Caenorhabditis elegans: one gene and its partners. The protein of the gene in region 1 purifies or fractionates together with the protein of each later gene. This does not show direct contact. Each region holds a gene or a part of one and is shown in the gene's direction. Other genes may lie near its edges.

Region 1 (5,971 bases):
TAAAATTTTCAGTGACGACCTGGAGACGGATTTGCAGAAGGATTTGAAGAAGTTGAACGAAATTCTGAAAACTGGAATCACGGAGACCGAGACGACGAGCAGCCCGAAAGAACCGCCGGTCGACAAGAATTTCATGAATTTCCGAAAACAAGCCGAGCAAGAAGCCTTTCAGCGGAGCAGCATTTTCAACTGGAAAACCGTTCTTGGAACATTTGCAGTCGGCGGAACATGCCTTGCCGCTCTATTTTACATCAAGAAAATCCGTCTGGATGAGAGGGAAAAACACCGAAAACAGACGGCAGGAAAAGCGAGAATCGGTGGAGAATGGGAATTGATGAATACAGACGGGAAAATGGAAGGATCTCAGGAACTACGTGGAAATTGGCTTCTGATGTACTTTGGATTCACAAATTGCCCGGATATTTGCCCTGATGAGATTGAGAAAATGGTGAAAGTCGTGGAAATTATCGAGGCAAAGAAGGACGCGACGCCGATCGTTCCCGTATTCATTTCAGTAGATCCTGAGCGAGATTCTGTTGCTCGAGTGAAAGAATATTGCTCCGAGTTCTCCAACAAGCTACGTGGATTCACTGGAACCACAGAGCAAGTTAATAAAGTTGCGAAAACGTTCAGAGTATATCATAGCCAGGGACCCAGGACAAATAAGCAAGAAGATGATTATATTGTAGATCACACGGTTATTATGTACCTAATTGGTGAGATTTTTAGATTTTTAGTATAAAAATTGGATAAAAACTCAAATTATTTAATTTTCCAGACCCCTCTGGCCAATTCCACGATTATTACGGACAAAATCGAAAAGCTGAGGAGATCGCCAACGTTATTGAAATGAAAGTTCTCAAATACCAAGCCCAGAACCGGAAATCGTTATTGAATTTGTTCTAGATTTTTTTACGTGTATTTTTTTTTGTTTTTTTTTCTGTTTAGGTAGCTATCTTCCATCTTTTTGTTGTAATTTTCAGCTCGGTTAGATTTTTTTTGTTTATTTAAAGAAAACCATTGCTCAGCTTAATTTTATTGAACTTTTTTTTTTGATTTTCAAGGCGTTCGATTGCTTTAATACCTTTTACGATTGAATTTCCTCACCATTTTTGCTCCAAAATGCCAGAAAAACCTAATTTCTCGTAGAGATTTTCAAAAATTGCGAAAAAAAAGCTAAAATCTCGAATTTTACCAGTTTTTAATCAATTTTCTCTGATATTTTACGGATTTTTTGATACTTTTTTTGCGTTTATGGTTCAAAAAATGGAATAAACGATCAAATTTGCAATTAATGGAAAAATTGGAATAAAAATCAATTTCTGACCAAATAAATTGAGAAAGTATAAGATTTTAGCTGAAATGAGCTATTTTTCACCGATTTTTGCAAATATTTAGCTCCTCACTACAAGAAAAACGATAAGATTATGCAATTATAGGATACTCTGTAAAAAAAACCATTCAGACCGTTTTTGGACGAGCAAAATGAAAAATTCGAAAATTTAGCGGAATTTGGCTTTTCTGAGACAATTTTTTAAAGAAAAATATTTACAAAAGTCTTAAATTCAGGAAATCCACAAAAAAAAGCACGAAAAATAATCGCAAATGAAAAAAAATTCAAATAAAAACTTCAAAAACCGTGATTTCTCAATTTTAGCCAAATTCCGAGGGAATTTGTGGTTTTCTTGAATTTTAGACTTTTTTGAAATTTACCTCGAAAGAATTCAGTTTTTTCAGGATTTTTTCTTATTTTAATGCGTAAAACATCCCATTTTTAACCCAAATTATTTCCAGAAATGTCTGGCCTGAAACCTGTCAAACCAGAAGGAGTTCAAAGCGAGTTCAGTGTCCGCGTTGCAAAACGAAGCGATGATATCCGTTACTCTGTAATGATGTTCAACGGAATGGACAAAGTGGACACATCAAAATGGACAATAGACAGTGGTGTTACAATGGAGAGAGAGGATAATCAACGTGTAATTCTATCAACACAGACAGTTCAAGAATACGGAGAAGGATCCGAGTATGGAAAAGCTGCGAGGGAAGAAGCTCGCCGAAAGAAATATGGAAGACAATCAAAAAAATATCGACTTGATAATCAGCCATGGAAGATGGCATTCACTGAGCCAGAAGGACGGCAGAGGCAAATGAGAGGAATTCGAGAAGGTGGTGCAAATGAGCATGCTGATTATTGGGTTTTTCTGAAACCAAATCAATCTTCTGAGTTTAAAGCTTATAAAGTCGATGAATGGCATAAATTCCTGCCAGCGATTACTCATAAAACTCTTGATATTGATCAAGCCGAGGAGCAATTCTCTCAGAGATATAAAGTTATGAATCAATTCGCTTTGAAAGCAGCGATACAGAACCAATTGAGTGCGACGGATGAATCGGAAATGACAGAGCAGCAGAAACGTCTACTGAAAATTAAGGATGAGGCGAGCTCTGATGATTCGGATGGTGATGATGAGGGAGAGGGTGGTGATGATGGAAAAAAGGCGAAGAATAAGAAAAAGAAGAAGAAGAATGCGAAACCGGCGAAAGAGAAGAGGCAGAGGGTTGAGGATAAGGATGATGTTGCTAGTGAGTAATAGCTCTGGCGGATTTTTTGAAATATCGAAGGAATAATTCGGAAAAATTCCGATTAAAAACATCGATTTTTGTTTGAAATGCCGAAAAATAGGAATTTTTTCGACCTTTTCAAAGAAAATCGAAAAATTAAACACAAATTGAAAAAAAAATTCGCCATTAATTTTTCCGATACTTCAAAAAAATCGAATTTTTGCTGTTTTTTTTTTGAAAAAACCGATTTTCCGAAAATTCAACAAAAAAAAAGAAATTTTGAAAAATCTAATTTTTTGTTTGTTTAAAATGTGAAAAATCGAAAACTTAACGAAAATTGAAACAAAAATTCGACATTTCGTAAAAAAATGGATTTTTCCATTAATATCGAAAATAAATAAAAAATTTCGGATTTTTTTGTTTGAAGTATCGGAAAATATGAAAATTTTCTAGTTTTTCAGAAAAAAATCGTTTTTCTATCTTTTTTTTTTGAGGAAAAATCAAAATTTTCACACATTTCCGGCATTTTAAACGAAAAAATATAGATTTTTGATTTCAGAAAAATAGAAAATGTTCAAGATTATGGTTTCTCATTTTACAAAAAAAAAAAATTTTAAGAATACGAGTCATCGGACGGAGAGGACGAGGGCCGCGAGTACGACTACATTTCTGACAGTGGAACTGATTCTGAGTTGGTTTCTTTTTTTGAAAAAATTTTTAATTTTATTTTGGAAAAGAAAAAATAACAAATCTTTTAAAAATTCGTTTTTGATTTTCTGAAAAAAATTAAAAAATTTCGAATTTCTCTTTTTAAAAAATTCGTTTTGCGATTCTTATTCTAAAAAATAAAAAAATCGGGAAAAAATTTATTTTTCGATTTATTATGAAAAAAAATATTTAAACAAAATATAATTGCAAAAATAAAAATAAAAAAATTTACTAATTAGTCGGAAAAATTGGGAAAAAATTTAAAATACCGAAAAAAATCAAACATTTTCGATGTTTGATTTTTTTTTTTCTGAAAAAATTATAAAATAGAATATTTTCGATTTTCGCTGGGAAAAATTTAAAAAATCGAAGTTTTTCGGTTTTTTTTCTAGAAAATCGATAATAAATTTCCATTTTCTAATTAAAAATTGTTATTTTCCAATTTTCTTAGTAAAATTGAAAACTAAAAAAAAGTCCGAATTTTCTGAAAAAAAATTTGAAAAATTGAAAATCTTTTCCATTTTTCGTTTTTCTCTGAAAAAAATGTAATAAATCGAAAAAAAAATTAATTTTTCGATTTTCCCTTCAAAAAAAATTGAAAAATCAATGAATTACCCATTTTCAGCCGTGAACAAGTTCCATCAGACGAAAAAATCGAGAAACAACTAGTCGGAGTTGCTGAAGAAGAAGGAGCACGTGAATCTGATAGCAGTGAATCTGAAGATGATTTAACGAAGAAATTAATGAAACCATATGGTGATAAGAAAAAAGGAAATGATATTGAAGAACGTGATTCATCTGGAACAGATTCTGATGTTTCCGACACTGAAAAACTCGATTCTGTAGTTTTTATGAAGGCTAACAAGGATGGAGAAGGCGGCTCGGGAGGAACCGGAAAAAAACGTCCACCAACTGAAGATTCTGATCTTAAAATGGATAATCTTGGTCCGAGTGATGCGAAAAAAGCGAAACCGGCTGTTAAATTTGAGGAAGGACTCAATGAGGAAACTGTTCGCAGATATTTGCGTCGTAAACCGCATACAACGAAGGTGAATTGGAAAATTCGAAAAATAGGAAAAATTTCAGAAAAAAAAATCGATTTTCTCAGGATAAAAAAAACAACAAAAAAACGAAAAAAAAAATGTTTAAAAAGTTAACAAAAAAAGGATAATAAACTTTTTATTTATTTTTAAAATTAAAATTATGAAACTTGTGATAATTGTAAGAAGGAAATTCAATTTTTGAGAAAATTGCACGAAAACTTTAAAAATATTTAAAATATAGGTATAATTTTTTCGAACGAAAAAAACAGAAAAATATATAAGTTAATGCAGAAAATACCAAGAAAGTTATTTTCCGCGAAAATTTCGATTTTTCGGAGAAAAATTAAAAATTAAAAAAAAATCAATTTTTTGGTTTATATTGAGAAGAAAACACATGAGAAAAAAATTCAATTTTATGCTAAAAATAAGAAAAACAGCCAAATTGAAATTTTTCGATTTTTCAAAACCTAAAAATCAAAAAACTGGTAACAAAATAGATTTTTTGTTTTCAAAAAATTTAATACTATTTTTTTTTATAATAAATTTAAATCTAATCAATTTAACCTATGAGCATTTTTAAAAATTTTTAATTAAAAAAAATAGAAAATTTTTAATTTTTCACAAAATTCGGAATAAAAAACTTTAGAAAAATGAATTATGCTAGAAATTGCATCATTTGTTCATAAAAAATGTTAAAAATTTGACAAAAAAGCAAGAAAACTCTAATATAAATTTTCAATTAAAAAAAATTATAATTTAAATAAAATTGAAAGCTGAAAAACCTATTCAAAAATCGCTCCTGTACCAAAAATTTCAGCGAAATCTGAAAAAATCCAAATTTTCTCATAATAAAATTCCATTTTTTGCAGGAACTCCTCCACAAAATGAACGGAAAATGCGGAAATATGAGCAAATCTGAAATGGTAACCCAACTGGCTTCAATTCTGAAAGCAATCGAACCGAATCAATCTCGACAATTGAAGGGAAAGAAGGAAGTACTCTTCTTCTCACTTGTCAACACTATCGCCTAATTTTTTAACTATTTTTTCTTCTCTTAAAAATTATACAATCCTTCGCATTTTTATTTTAAATTCAAATTTTCCCGCCCAAAATTCTGTAAATGAACCAAAAGTTTCGCGATTAAAAAAATTTTATCGAAATATTTAAGTGCAAAATATTCTAAAAGCTAGGAATTATAGATTTTTCAAAAAAATTCAAATAATTATGCAAGAATCACTTGATCAAAGCCATCCACTCAGCCCACAGGCCTTCAACATTCTCTCCCTTATTCTGAATTTCAGTCCGAGCATCCTGAACAATCACTTCTCCCTGATCATTTACAATTCTCATGGCTGGAATTGTCTTGACTTCGTATTTTTGCATCAGGGACCTGGAAAAAAAATATTATTCAATCGTAGAAAATTGTGATTTTGGGCACATCGAGAAGCCATTTTTGTGGATTTTTGACATTTTCGAGCATTTCCTAACGATTCTATTTTAAAAAGTACTAAAAAACACTAGAAAATAGACAAAAACTATAAAAAGTGCCATAATATGGGTGAAACCAGCGAAAATAGTTGAAAAAGTTTGAATTTCGCGCTTTTTGAGATCGAAGTGCAATTGCGCTCCACTGTATCGGCGGGAGACCGGTGAATTCA
Region 2 (6,535 bases), on another chromosome or scaffold:
AAGTTTTGGGCGCTGCTAACACTACAAACTACAAATTTTGGGCGCTGCTAAACTACAAACTACAACTTTTGGGCGCTGCTTAGACTACAAACTACAAGTTTTGGGCGCTGCTAATTCAATTTTGGGCGCTGCTTAGACTACAAACTACAAGTTTTGGGCGCTGCTAACACTACAAACTACAACTTTTGGGCGCTGCTAATTCAATTTTGGGCGCTGCTTAGACTACAAACTACAAGTTTTGGGCGCTGCTAATTCAATTTTGGGCGCTGCTTAGACTACAAACTACAAGTTTTGGGCGCTGCTAATTCAATTTTGGGCGCTGCTTAGACTACAAACTACAAGTTTTGGGCGCTGCTAAACTACAAACTACAAGTTTTGGGCGCTGCTAACACTACAAACTACAAGTTTTGGGCGCTGCTAATTCAATTTTGGGCGCTGCTAAACTACAAACTACAACTTTTGGGCGCTGCTCAAGGGAAAAATCAGTTTTTTTTTCTGAAAAGTATCGCCGAAAACTGAAAATCTCCAATTTTCTCCTCAAAAATTGCAATTTTCGCACTGAAATCTATGAAATCCCATAAAAAGATCTTAAAAAGACATTTTCTCATTGAAATTTGAGCTCAAAAATATACGAAAAATCGATAAATTTCAGAAAAAACACTAGCAATCGGGACATTTTGCTCCAAAAATTCCGTTTTCCGACAAAAATCCGGGGTTTTCAGCTTAAGAAGTGCGAAAAAAAAGAATGAAATTTACACTAAAATGCTTGATAAATAAGATTTTAGACCGAAATTTCCAAATTTTAGCTCAAAATTATGCGGAAATTCTGCATTTTTCGGTTAAAAATTCCCAAAATTAAAATTTTCAGCACAACACAGCGCTTCGGAGTAGCCACCACCACCACAAAATGCTCTGAAACCGACGATGAATTTCCACAAGGTTATCAAATCATTGGTGATGGAAATGTTCCATGTGCCACCACGTCAGAAGATGAGGATGACGTCATCACCACCGATAACTTTGATGACGTCACCACGAGCTCTGGATTATGGTGCAATTTCGTGATATCTCCGGATGATTTTGTGAGAAAAAATGATGTGGAAAAACTGGAAATTTCCGAGGAAAAATCGATGACAATACCGCTTGATGGTGACAAATTGGCACAGATATCCGCTGCAATGGCGAATTTTCAGTTGCCTACACCGCCCGGCTGGGAGGGTGTCAGCGATTCGAAAATATTGGAATTTGTTAGACAACGAGTCTGAAAACTGTGTGCTGAAAATCCAATAAAAATCACTTGTTTGCCGGGTTTTTGCTGAAATTTTTGTTAAAAATTGAGGGTTTTTAGCCCGAGAAATATTGATTTTCGCTTTATTTTTCAGGATTTTATTGTTTTTTCCTCGAAGCTATCGATTTTTCTGCAAATTTATCGATTTTTCTGCAAATTTATCGATTTTCTGGAAATTTGTCGAATTTTCTGCAATTTTATTGACTTTTCTGGAACTTTATCGATTTTTCTCTCATTTAATTGATTTTTCTGCAAATTTATCGATTTTTCTGCAAATTTATCGAGTTTTCTGGAAGTTTATCGATTTTTCTGAAAATTTATCGATTTTTTTTAAAAATTAATTGATTTTTTTTTTGCAAATTTATCGATTTTTTCTCAATTCTTTCATTTCTTCCTCGATTTCATCGCTTTTCCACCTATTTTCCCCTGTAAAACTCTCGATTCTCCAGGAAAATGAGCCCAACGAAGCGATATTCGAATGACGTCGACTGTGAGCTGGCAAAACGGAGCATTTGGCTTGTAAAAGTGCCCAGATATTTGTCAGAGCTCTGGGATGCCAACGAGGGAAATGTTGTTGGAAAATTGCAGATTGGAGCGCAGGTAAAATTGGAAAAAATATTGAAAATCCTGTTGAAAATGCTGAAAATGAAGTTTTTGGCCCAAAAATAGTGTGGAAAATCGGAAAAATCTGAAATTCTGGTCAAAAATGTGATTTTCAAAGGAAAAAACATCGATTAAATCATAAAAGATATGAAATTTGGGAAAAAATTCAAAAATAAGGTAGAACCGTCGTTTTTTGGACAGAAAAATACCTCAGGTTTTCAAATGAAAAAAATCTGAAAAATGTGGAAAACGGCATTTAATTTTCAATTTAATGACATTTTTCCTCGAAAATCTGAATTTTTGTCTCAAAAATTGACAAAAATCGATTTTTTGCCGGAAAAACTGGATAATTCCACTGAAAATTTGACATTTAACCAATTTTTCTGTGTTTTACATAAAAATGCACTGAAGAAGAACCAAGAAATTCGAAATTCTACTGAAAATGCGGAAAAATTCGAAATTATTTTAAGAAAATTAAATTTTAACTGCTTTTTTAAACTCAAAATTTGAAATTTTCTGCTAAAAATTCAATTTTGATCAAAAAAGCCTGAATTTCTCACCGAAAAATGAAATTTTCTGAAAAAATTGAAAAAAAAAATACACCAGAAGCTTAGAAAATCGATTTTTCAATGAAATTTTCAGTGGAATTAATTGTTTTTCGGTTGAAAATCGATTTTTCAAGTTAAAACGCTAGTTTTACAGTGAAAAATGCTCATTTTTAGAGTTTTTTCACGGGAAAAATGCTTAAATTAGGACATTTTTCTCCGAAAACTGAATTTTTGGTTTAAAAATTTAAATTTCAGGTCGAGCTTCACACCGCCAAAGGTCTCATTCATCCCAAACCAAAAGAGCCCACAGAGGGCTCATCATCTACAGTAACCCAACCAGAAGCCTCGGAAATTCCAACAGAATACTCATTTATTCTTCATGACGTCAAATCTCAAACAATGAGCGTTTTATCCGAAGATAAGCAGGGACTCGGTGCAGATGCTCCAATCAAAACTGGAAAACTGGCAATTGAGGGACGAATTATCAAAAAAGCGGAATGTCGGCCACCGGCCACGTCGAAATATATGAAAATGAAGTTGGCACATATTGTGAAAAATACTCAACCAAAGAAAACGGTTAAAATGATTGAAAAAGCGGCTGTGAAGTTTAAGCCCGTGTCTGTACATGCTGAAGATATGATTAAGAGCAAACAGAAGAAGGATGGAGCTAAAACTTATCGAGCTGATAGAGATGTGCTCCGTGGAGCTCTTTTCAAAGCTTTTGAGAAGCATAGTTTTTATAGGTAAAATACTCGAGAAAACTACGGAAAATTTGTGTTGTTTTGGCCTTTTTCACTGCAACTTTTTCCTCACGAGGGACGAGGAAAAGTGGTTTCTAGGCCATGGCCGAGGGGAAGACAAATTTCAGCGGCCATTTATCTTGCTTTGTTTTCCGCCTGTTTTCTTTCGTTTTTCATCGATTTTTTTCGTTTTTTCTTAATAAAACTGATAAATAAATATTTTTTGCAGATGCCAAAACGATTTCCAAGTAAAAAAAAGTGTATTCAGTGGGCAAGCAGCGGTGAAAGTGGGCATTGTAATATGATGGATTACGGGAATACAAAACCTAAACTTTTTCTTAAACATTATACATATGCTGCTTAGATGCTGAAGCTACCTGATTTTCATAACGAGACCGCTGAAAAAGTTTTGAGGTTTCCAAAATTCAACTTTTTGTGCGAAAATCTCGACTTTTTCACCAAAAAAGTTGAATTTTGAAAACCCTAAAACTTTTTCAGCGGTTTCGTTATGAAAATCAGGTAATTTCAGCATCTAAGCATCATATGTATCATGTTTCAGAAAAAGTTTAGGTTTTGTATTCCCGTAATCCATCATTTTACATTGACCATTTTCACCACTGCTTGCCGACTGAATACATAATTTTTTTACTTGGAAATTGTTTTAGCATCTGCAAAAAGTATTTATTTATCAGTTTTATTAAGAAAAAACGGGAAAAGGCTGTGAAAAACGAAAGAAAACAGGCGGAAAACAAAGCAAGATAAATGGCCGCTGAAACTTGTCGGCCCCTCGGCCATGGCCTAGAAACCACTTTTCCTCGTCCCTCGTGAGGAAAAAGTTGCAGTGAATTTTTTGAAAGTTTTAATAATGGTGTAGTCGAATTATTTTTATCGCCTTATTAGACTCAAAATTGTCTAAAAACACCGAATTTCATAATGAAACTTCTTGAAATCTTTTCAGAAAAGAGTTATGACGGCTCAAAAAATGGTCTAAAATTCGTTAAAATCGGAAATTTGACTTGTCAAGCGGCTCAAAACTATTTTTTTTTGAAATCACCGTCAAATTTTAAGTTTACAAGTTGATCATCTTGCGTTTTGAACTTGATTAAGGTATTTAAAAATCGATAGACGGCGAGATTTTTAATTTTTTCAAACCCAAACTCGCCGTCTATCGATTTTTAAATACCTTAATCAAGTTCAAAACGCAAGATAATCAACTTGTGAACTTAAAATTTGACGGTGATTTCAAAAACAAATAGTTTTGAGCCGCTTGACAAGTCAAATTTCCGATTTTAACTAATTTTAGACCATTTTTTGAGCCGTCATAACTCTTTTCTGAAAAGTTTTCAAGAAGTTTCATTATGAAATTCGGTGTTTTTAGACAATTTTGAGTCTAATAAGGCGATTAAAAAAGTCGACTACACCACCTTTAATGTGGTTTTCCCACAAAAAACTACTGGAAATTTGCAGTATTTTGAGCTGATAACGAATTTTTGGGCGCTGCTTAGACAACAAAAACTACAGTTTATTTCATTAAAAACTGGTAAAAATTCTGGAAATTCGAATAGAAACCGATTTTTAAAGTAAATTTTGCCAGAAATCCACAAAAAAATGGCAAAAATCGGATAAAATCTGAATTCGAAGATTTTGGGCACTGCTAAAGCTACAAACTACAAGTTTTGGGCGCTGCCAATGAATTTTGATGCCGAGAATTTGAATTTCTGTTGAAAAAATGAGTAAAAATCTACATTTTTGAAGGTTCATGGTTTTTCACCAAAAAAAACTGCAGAAAACACCGATTTTTAAACAAAATCTCACCGAAAAATATTAAAAATTGGCGGAAATCGGTTAAAATCGGTTCAAGATCCGAATTTTTACATTTTGGGCGCTGCTTAGACTACAAACTACAAGTTTGGGCGCTGCTAATTCCATTTTGGGCGCTGCTTAGACTACAAACTACAAGTTTTGGGCGCTGCTGATCCGAATTTTTTGCAATTTTGGGCGATTTTTCAATTAAAAATGGAAGAAAATCTATATTTTCATTCAAAAAGTGTCAAAATTTTACGTTTTACTCATTTTTAAAGGGATTTTTACAGATTTTCCCAAGAAAAACTGAAAAAAATAGGCAAAAATTGACGAAATTCCACGTATTTTGCACCTTTCGTTGAGTTTTTTTAGGAAATTCTACACACAAAAAACTGTAAAAATTGGGTGTTATTTTGGTATCAATCGATTAAAAACTGCATTTCAACGTTTTGGGCGCTGCTTAGACTACAAACTACAAGTTTTTGGGCGCTGCTAACTACATGAAACCTCGTTTTTTTGCCAAAATTTCCAAAGTTTTTTCAAAAATCGCACATTTTCGCTAGAAATTTCCGATTTTCAAGCCGAAATATGCGAAAATAATGAAAAATCACACATTTCTAGTGTATTTTTTGGAATTTTTAACGAGAAACACACTAGTTTCCTCCAAAATTTCTAACTTCTTAGAATTCTGTGCATTTTCGATGAAATTTCGGATTTTTTGGCTGGCCGCTGCTTAGACTACAAAAACTACAATTTCTCGCATTTCAGACTTCAAGATCTTCAGCAACTCCTTCAACAACCGGTCAGCTACGTCAAAGAAGTGCTCCAAGAGATTGCCGTCTACAATACTGCTCCACCGCACAAGTCTCTGTGGTGCCTGAAACCGGAATACTGTAACTACAAAGTCAACGCACAATCGGAATAATTCCAACTTTTTTTTGGACATTATTATTATTATTTATTTACTATACATCTCTTCTTTTTTAAAAACATGATGAACACTTGTGAATATTGGGGATTTTTGAATTTTTTTTTTTTTGGATTTCTTCGTTGATTTTGGGTTATTTAGCCCAGTTTTCTATTTATTATCAGATTTTTTTTCGTTTTTTTTCGAGAAAAATAGGAAAAAAAAATTGATTTTTTACTTCTTTTTTTTTCAGAATGGTCAAATTTCAAATCGAAAAAAAGACGCTTCTGGGCCGCTTGGGCAAAATCGACACATGGGGCTCCGTGGAGGTTAACCACCAGACCCCATCCTTTCAAACCTACCTACGAGCCGGACATATTCCCCACCTGACATGGGAAGTTGCTGAGAATCAGCTGAAACTCGAACAAACCCACATTTTTCAAATGACGCTCCCAACGCTGGTGTCAAACGCGAAAATTATCGAGAAATTCGGAAAAGGCGCTGCGAAATTTTGTGGGATGCCTGCAGGCGCGGCGGTTCACCTGACACCGTTTGACCCGCTTGGAAAGCTTCCCGGAGGGTATAATGACTCGAAATCCGTCGCGATTTGGACGGCAAACGGAAAAGTTTCGTTGGATGTTAAAAT
Region 3 (4,825 bases), on another chromosome or scaffold:
TTTCCTGTCACGACCCCCGTAAGAAAAACCTTTCCACTCAGACTTTATACTCTCTTAAAATATTTCATGTATATGTGTGCATGCAAACTTGCTCCGGAAGTTGCTAAGTTTTTGAATCGCCATTTTTTGAGTTTTCATGTCGGACTATACTTTTTGTCAACCAGTGTTGCAATACAACTGCACAAAACTCCGTCATAAGATTTATTGGATCTGAAAACTGATTTCTTATAGCTCACTGACGTAATTTATTAAATGTTACGTAGCAAAAAAAGATGAAGCAAGTTTTAAGAGTAGGTCAAGTGAGTTATTGGAGGTAGACTGAGTGGTCAGAAGCAAGGTCCACCACAAAACGGAAGAGCATAAAAGGCGCACCTCTGTGGGAGGAAAGGCAAGCGCCCGTGCGGTCATCAATTCTTTTGCTGCCCACTTACCAAAAACTATACTTTTTTTGCCGAATACCACATATGTGTTATCTTTCCTTTGTTAATCATGCTCAGATGGTTTCTTTGTTGGTGTTGACTAATAGTTTGTTTCAAGTACAATGACCTTGCGCTCATTTTTTTCTTAGTATAGTTTGAGCTCTCTATTTCTGGATATTTCTACTTTGTCCATCCATTTAGGAAGTTCGTAAAATATATGTACTGTATTTACCACTTCACTAAATTTTTTTTCAACTCCCTATCACTTCTTTAAAATACGGTCATTTAAAAATTACTTTCTCTTAATTAATCAAGAATTGTTAATGGCTAATTATCAAAAATAGAGGTATATTTGTTCATTTTTCAATTTTTTTTCTGGTTTATAAAGCTCCTCTGAAATATTTTCCTTGTTAAAAAATTAAAAAATTTATAAAATTTACCGCATTTCATATTGTATGGTTCATAATTGACCTCTTCTCATAGTCAGATTGGGATTTTACAATTATTTAACAATTTGATATTTATTTGCGTTTAATTAAACTTTAATAACTTTGTACCATTGTTTTTTATTATCAATTACTGAGTTTATGCCACTTTTTGAGAAAACTATAGCTTTGCTGCATGTTTGAATCCCTACAATTCTTGAAACATAACTAGATAATACATTTTCAAAGATACATTTTTTTCCGACCGCTTTCAAGAACATTGCAAAAATAAGTAATTACCACTTTTGAAACAATGTTTTTATAAGAAAGCATTCAAAACACGTTTGAAAATTTTAAATATGATATTTGATCATTTTGGCACGATCGGAGTGGTTTTCAACAATTTCCCCACTGGCTCCACCTTGAAATGTAAAAACAACTAAAAGTTATTTTTATACCATCTACATTCTTCCAAAAAAAATTATACTCATTCCCGAAACTTGTTCTTTACTTGAAAGAACTCAGCAAGATTGATGGAAAATGATCGGAAATGGAGGTTGCGCTCGCTTTCTTTTCTTGTCCCGCAGCCTATCTTCGTGTGTTTTCTTGTTTCAACTCACCGACTATAGTTACTGACGCATTCCAAAGAGCTATTATTGCTCATGTAATGGACACTGCTAACCAATTGTTCCAATGTGCACTTTAATCGCTCCTTATACTTTTCCTGTCGTATTACCCGCCTCCCAATCATGCCAGTATATATATTTATCCGAATAATTTTTGAGATGTTAAAAATTTTATTTTTTTTCTGCAAATTTTAAAAAGGTTTCGAAAAATTTCAAACGCTTACAGATCCCAATTGAAAAGATCAACATAATTGGATGAGTGAGACATTCTGATGTTGTCTGCTCAAGAGTACACATGTAACCAGTTCCAGTCTTTCCATGCTGACCGTCTGTCTATATTTGGTCGTCTTTCCAATTTTTGCTTCTTCGCAGTTTTTATCATATGATGGTAGGTGAAGCTTCAGAAAATTCAATTTCATGTCCCAATTTTCAGCAATTCGAATGAGGGTACCAGGACGTTGTATGTTGGGTGACTATGATTGCGGGTTAGGTCAGTGTGTTCCAATTTCTCAATTTCGAGATGGAAAACCTGATTGTATGGATGGTAGCGATGAATGTAAGTACATGAAGCAATATGATTTTAAGGTAATTCACGTTTAGGGTGTTTCATCGGTCAAGTTAGTTGTGGTCCAGTTTATTGTGCAGATTACAAAGATGCACTTCCATGTATTGTTTATCCTAAATGTGACGGTTCATCAAAACAACTTCCATGGTGTTCTACGTCAAGTGAGTTCATTTTAGGTTTACCTAATAATCTCGATTAGTATATTAGACATTTGAAGGGAGTAACTTCCTGCTAAACAATTGAAAACTGCCATGGAATTTCGTTTGCCAACTTTTTTGGGCAGTTTTTAATAGAGCATGTCAATTATTTAAAAATTCAGAATATTTTTATTTTGTCTGAATTTTTGTCATTTGTCTGCAGCTAATACTCAATAGTTGGGAGAAAAAACATACGGGAATAAGTTAGTGAAATTTTAAATTTTCAGAAGAAAAACTATGTGCGGATGAAACGTCATTTCCGTGCAAAGGTTACGGAGAGTGTGTTTTGTGGGAATGGTTGTTAGACGGGAAGAAGGATTGTAACGATGGCAGCGATGAAGGTATTTTTACTTTTAAAAAATTGGCAAATTGATAAAAACAATTTTTGATCGCAATAGTATGTAGTGTTATTCTCTGGAACTAACGTTTGTAATATTGTTTGAAGAAATATTCTTGTGTGGATTAAACTGGAAATTTGGAGAGTTCAAAATCAGAATTTGTTTTTCCAGACGAAAACTATGTGATGCCTCTTGAACACGCCTATAGATGTGCCAGAAATCAATCCGGACTCTATCTCCCAAAACCAGTACCACCACCACCGGAAGATCACCCGTCTCTCTACGTGGAAGGTTGCTCAATGTGCTCGAAACCATCTACCGTCACCTTGCCATCTAATCCTGTGATAGACTATACTACTCCAAAATATCCGTTTATTACATCTCCTCTGCTGGGAAATACAAAACCACCGTTGAGTAACTTCCCAGTATTTCCAAGTGAAGAATCAAAACTTGGGGATTTCTTCCCTGAACCATCCGGTGTCGAAATATCACGAGTAACTGGCTTCCACAAACCAAATGAGCCAATAGGAGACTTCTTTCCAACACATTCATCAACACCTGTACCTCCAACAGAAGCTGTCACTCAATCTCACACATTTCGCCTTATAACAATTCCATCAATTAGCCAGACGCAGTTTCCTCAGGCTCCGCTCATTTTTCCTGGACGGCCAGACTTGCCACCCATCACTGCGCCCTCACCTCTAAACAACTGGCCAATTCCAATTGTGACTACCACACCGGACCCACACCATCAAGGCCCACTTCCGCCGATTACGTATCCAACTATAGAAGAGGGTTCGGAAAAGATTCCACCAATAAAACCGGGAATTATAATCAGCCGACCGGTCACTTCAAGAAAACCAGATCTACCATCAGAGTTTGAGTATGGAGGAGGCACGGGTGATGGAATATCGCAACCACCAGGAATGAATCCATTTGACATGCTCACTAGGCCCAGTGTTCCAATGACAACTCCAGGACCTTTTGACATGTTTCCTAATGTACCACCTGTAGACCTCCGCCCAGTTACCCGACCATGGGAATCTGAAAAAACAAAACCTTATCCTGGTGTTACAATACCGGATGAACAAAAATCCGGTACCGACACGTTAATACCATTAATTCCTGGTCGCATTCTTCCAACTTTCGCAACACCAAGACCACTCTCCATTCCAAGTTTTTTCACAACTCCCCAGTCACCCCATAGACCTTTCGTAACTCAAAATCCTCCTCATGGTGCATTACCAACACTGATCCCACAAGCCGAAATTGAGAAGTATGTGCAAACGGAAGTACCACCTCACTCTGGTTTCGAAATACCGGGAGGGGGTTTCACAACACCTGGTAGCCATATTACCCATCCTTCGAAAGTTCCAGAAGGTTTCATTGAAGAAAAAACATTGCTGACGCCTTCTACAAACAATGCTCAGACAACTCAGATAGACAGAAATCTTACACCGAAAACCACCACTTTGAAGGCTACATCTCGAACAAAAATTATTCATGTTGGACCAAACGGGGTTGTTGAAGAAATCGATAATAATGAGTCGACGAAGATTGAAAATGAAACAAATTTGGGAGAACATGAAGGACAAATTGTACCAGGATCAGATAAAGTCATACACATTGGTCCAACAGTGAAAACGACTCCAACACCATCTAGTGGTACTTCAACGATTGTCACCGAAAACAGTTCAACCTTCGAATCGGTATCGACTTCAAGTGTTCCAACAACAACAGTGAAGACAGGTGACCCACAGGTTGATGACTGCCTCCGAAGAATGTCTGATTCTGGTGGATCGGTAATTTGTGATTGTCCAAATGGCCAATTCAAAAACACTGGGAACGGGCAATGTGAAGGTATTGTTCAAAATTGTATCGCTTTAATTAATTTTGCTTGAAAATATTTCAGAAACTCTTTCATTGGTGGTTGTCAAAGTGAAGGTTAACACAGTTTGTAATACAGATAAGGCATCGCTTGAGCAAAAACAGCGGATTTTACATCAAAAGGTAGATTTGTGGGTATCAATTATTTTTCATATTGGAAGTTTTTGCAGATTGGTCAATCTTATAAATCGTGCATTCGTTCGGCGGAACATGATTCTGCATTAGTTGCTATTGTTCAATGTAGTGACTGCACTTTGCAAGAGATCGATCGATTGTTAACGACAAGATCATTCGGGGAGCCTGGAAACTTGAATCTGACTGCAGAAGGTGAGTGTGCACAGCTTATAAACCATATCATGTAAATTATT

The links.
Region 2: the proteins of gtf-2F1 (region 1) and gtf-2F2 fractionate together in Caenorhabditis elegans (co-fractionation; one large-scale study listed by BioGRID). This does not show direct contact.
Region 3: the proteins of gtf-2F1 (region 1) and R11G1.1 fractionate together in Caenorhabditis elegans (co-fractionation; one large-scale study listed by BioGRID). This does not show direct contact.

The regions. Positions count from the first base shown.
Region 1 is NC_003280.10:4,299,813-4,305,783, forward strand, and holds gtf-2F1 (Transcription initiation factor IIF subunit alpha), read left to right. Parts: upstream 1-1,794; 5' UTR 1,795-1,796; coding exon 1,797-2,583; intron 2,584-3,180; coding exon 3,181-3,253; intron 3,254-3,895; coding exon 3,896-4,319; intron 4,320-5,182; coding exon 5,183-5,344; 3' UTR 5,345-5,458; downstream 5,459-5,971. Other genes in the region: sco-1 (Thioredoxin domain-containing protein), read left to right, coding at 13-716, 779-906; nxnr-1 (protein-disulfide reductase), read right to left, coding at 5,547-5,703.
Region 2 is NC_003283.11:18,992,203-18,998,737, forward strand, and holds gtf-2F2 (General transcription factor IIF subunit 2), read left to right. Parts: upstream 1-1,737; 5' UTR 1,738-1,741; coding exon 1,742-1,888; intron 1,889-2,694; coding exon 2,695-3,182; intron 3,183-5,750; coding exon 5,751-5,907; 3' UTR 5,908-5,998; downstream 5,999-6,535. Other genes in the region: Y39B6A.37 (Structural protein), read left to right, coding at 869-1,265; tgt-2 (Queuine tRNA-ribosyltransferase accessory subunit 2), read left to right, coding at 6,144-6,535.
Region 3 is NC_003284.9:3,657,704-3,662,528, forward strand, and holds the start of R11G1.1 (EGF-like domain-containing protein), read left to right. Parts: upstream 1-1,788; coding exon 1,789-1,858; intron 1,859-1,903; coding exon 1,904-2,026; intron 2,027-2,070; coding exon 2,071-2,196; intron 2,197-2,459; coding exon 2,460-2,573; intron 2,574-2,741; coding exon 2,742-4,430; intron 4,431-4,482; coding exon 4,483-4,580; intron 4,581-4,627; coding exon 4,628-4,784; intron 4,785-4,825.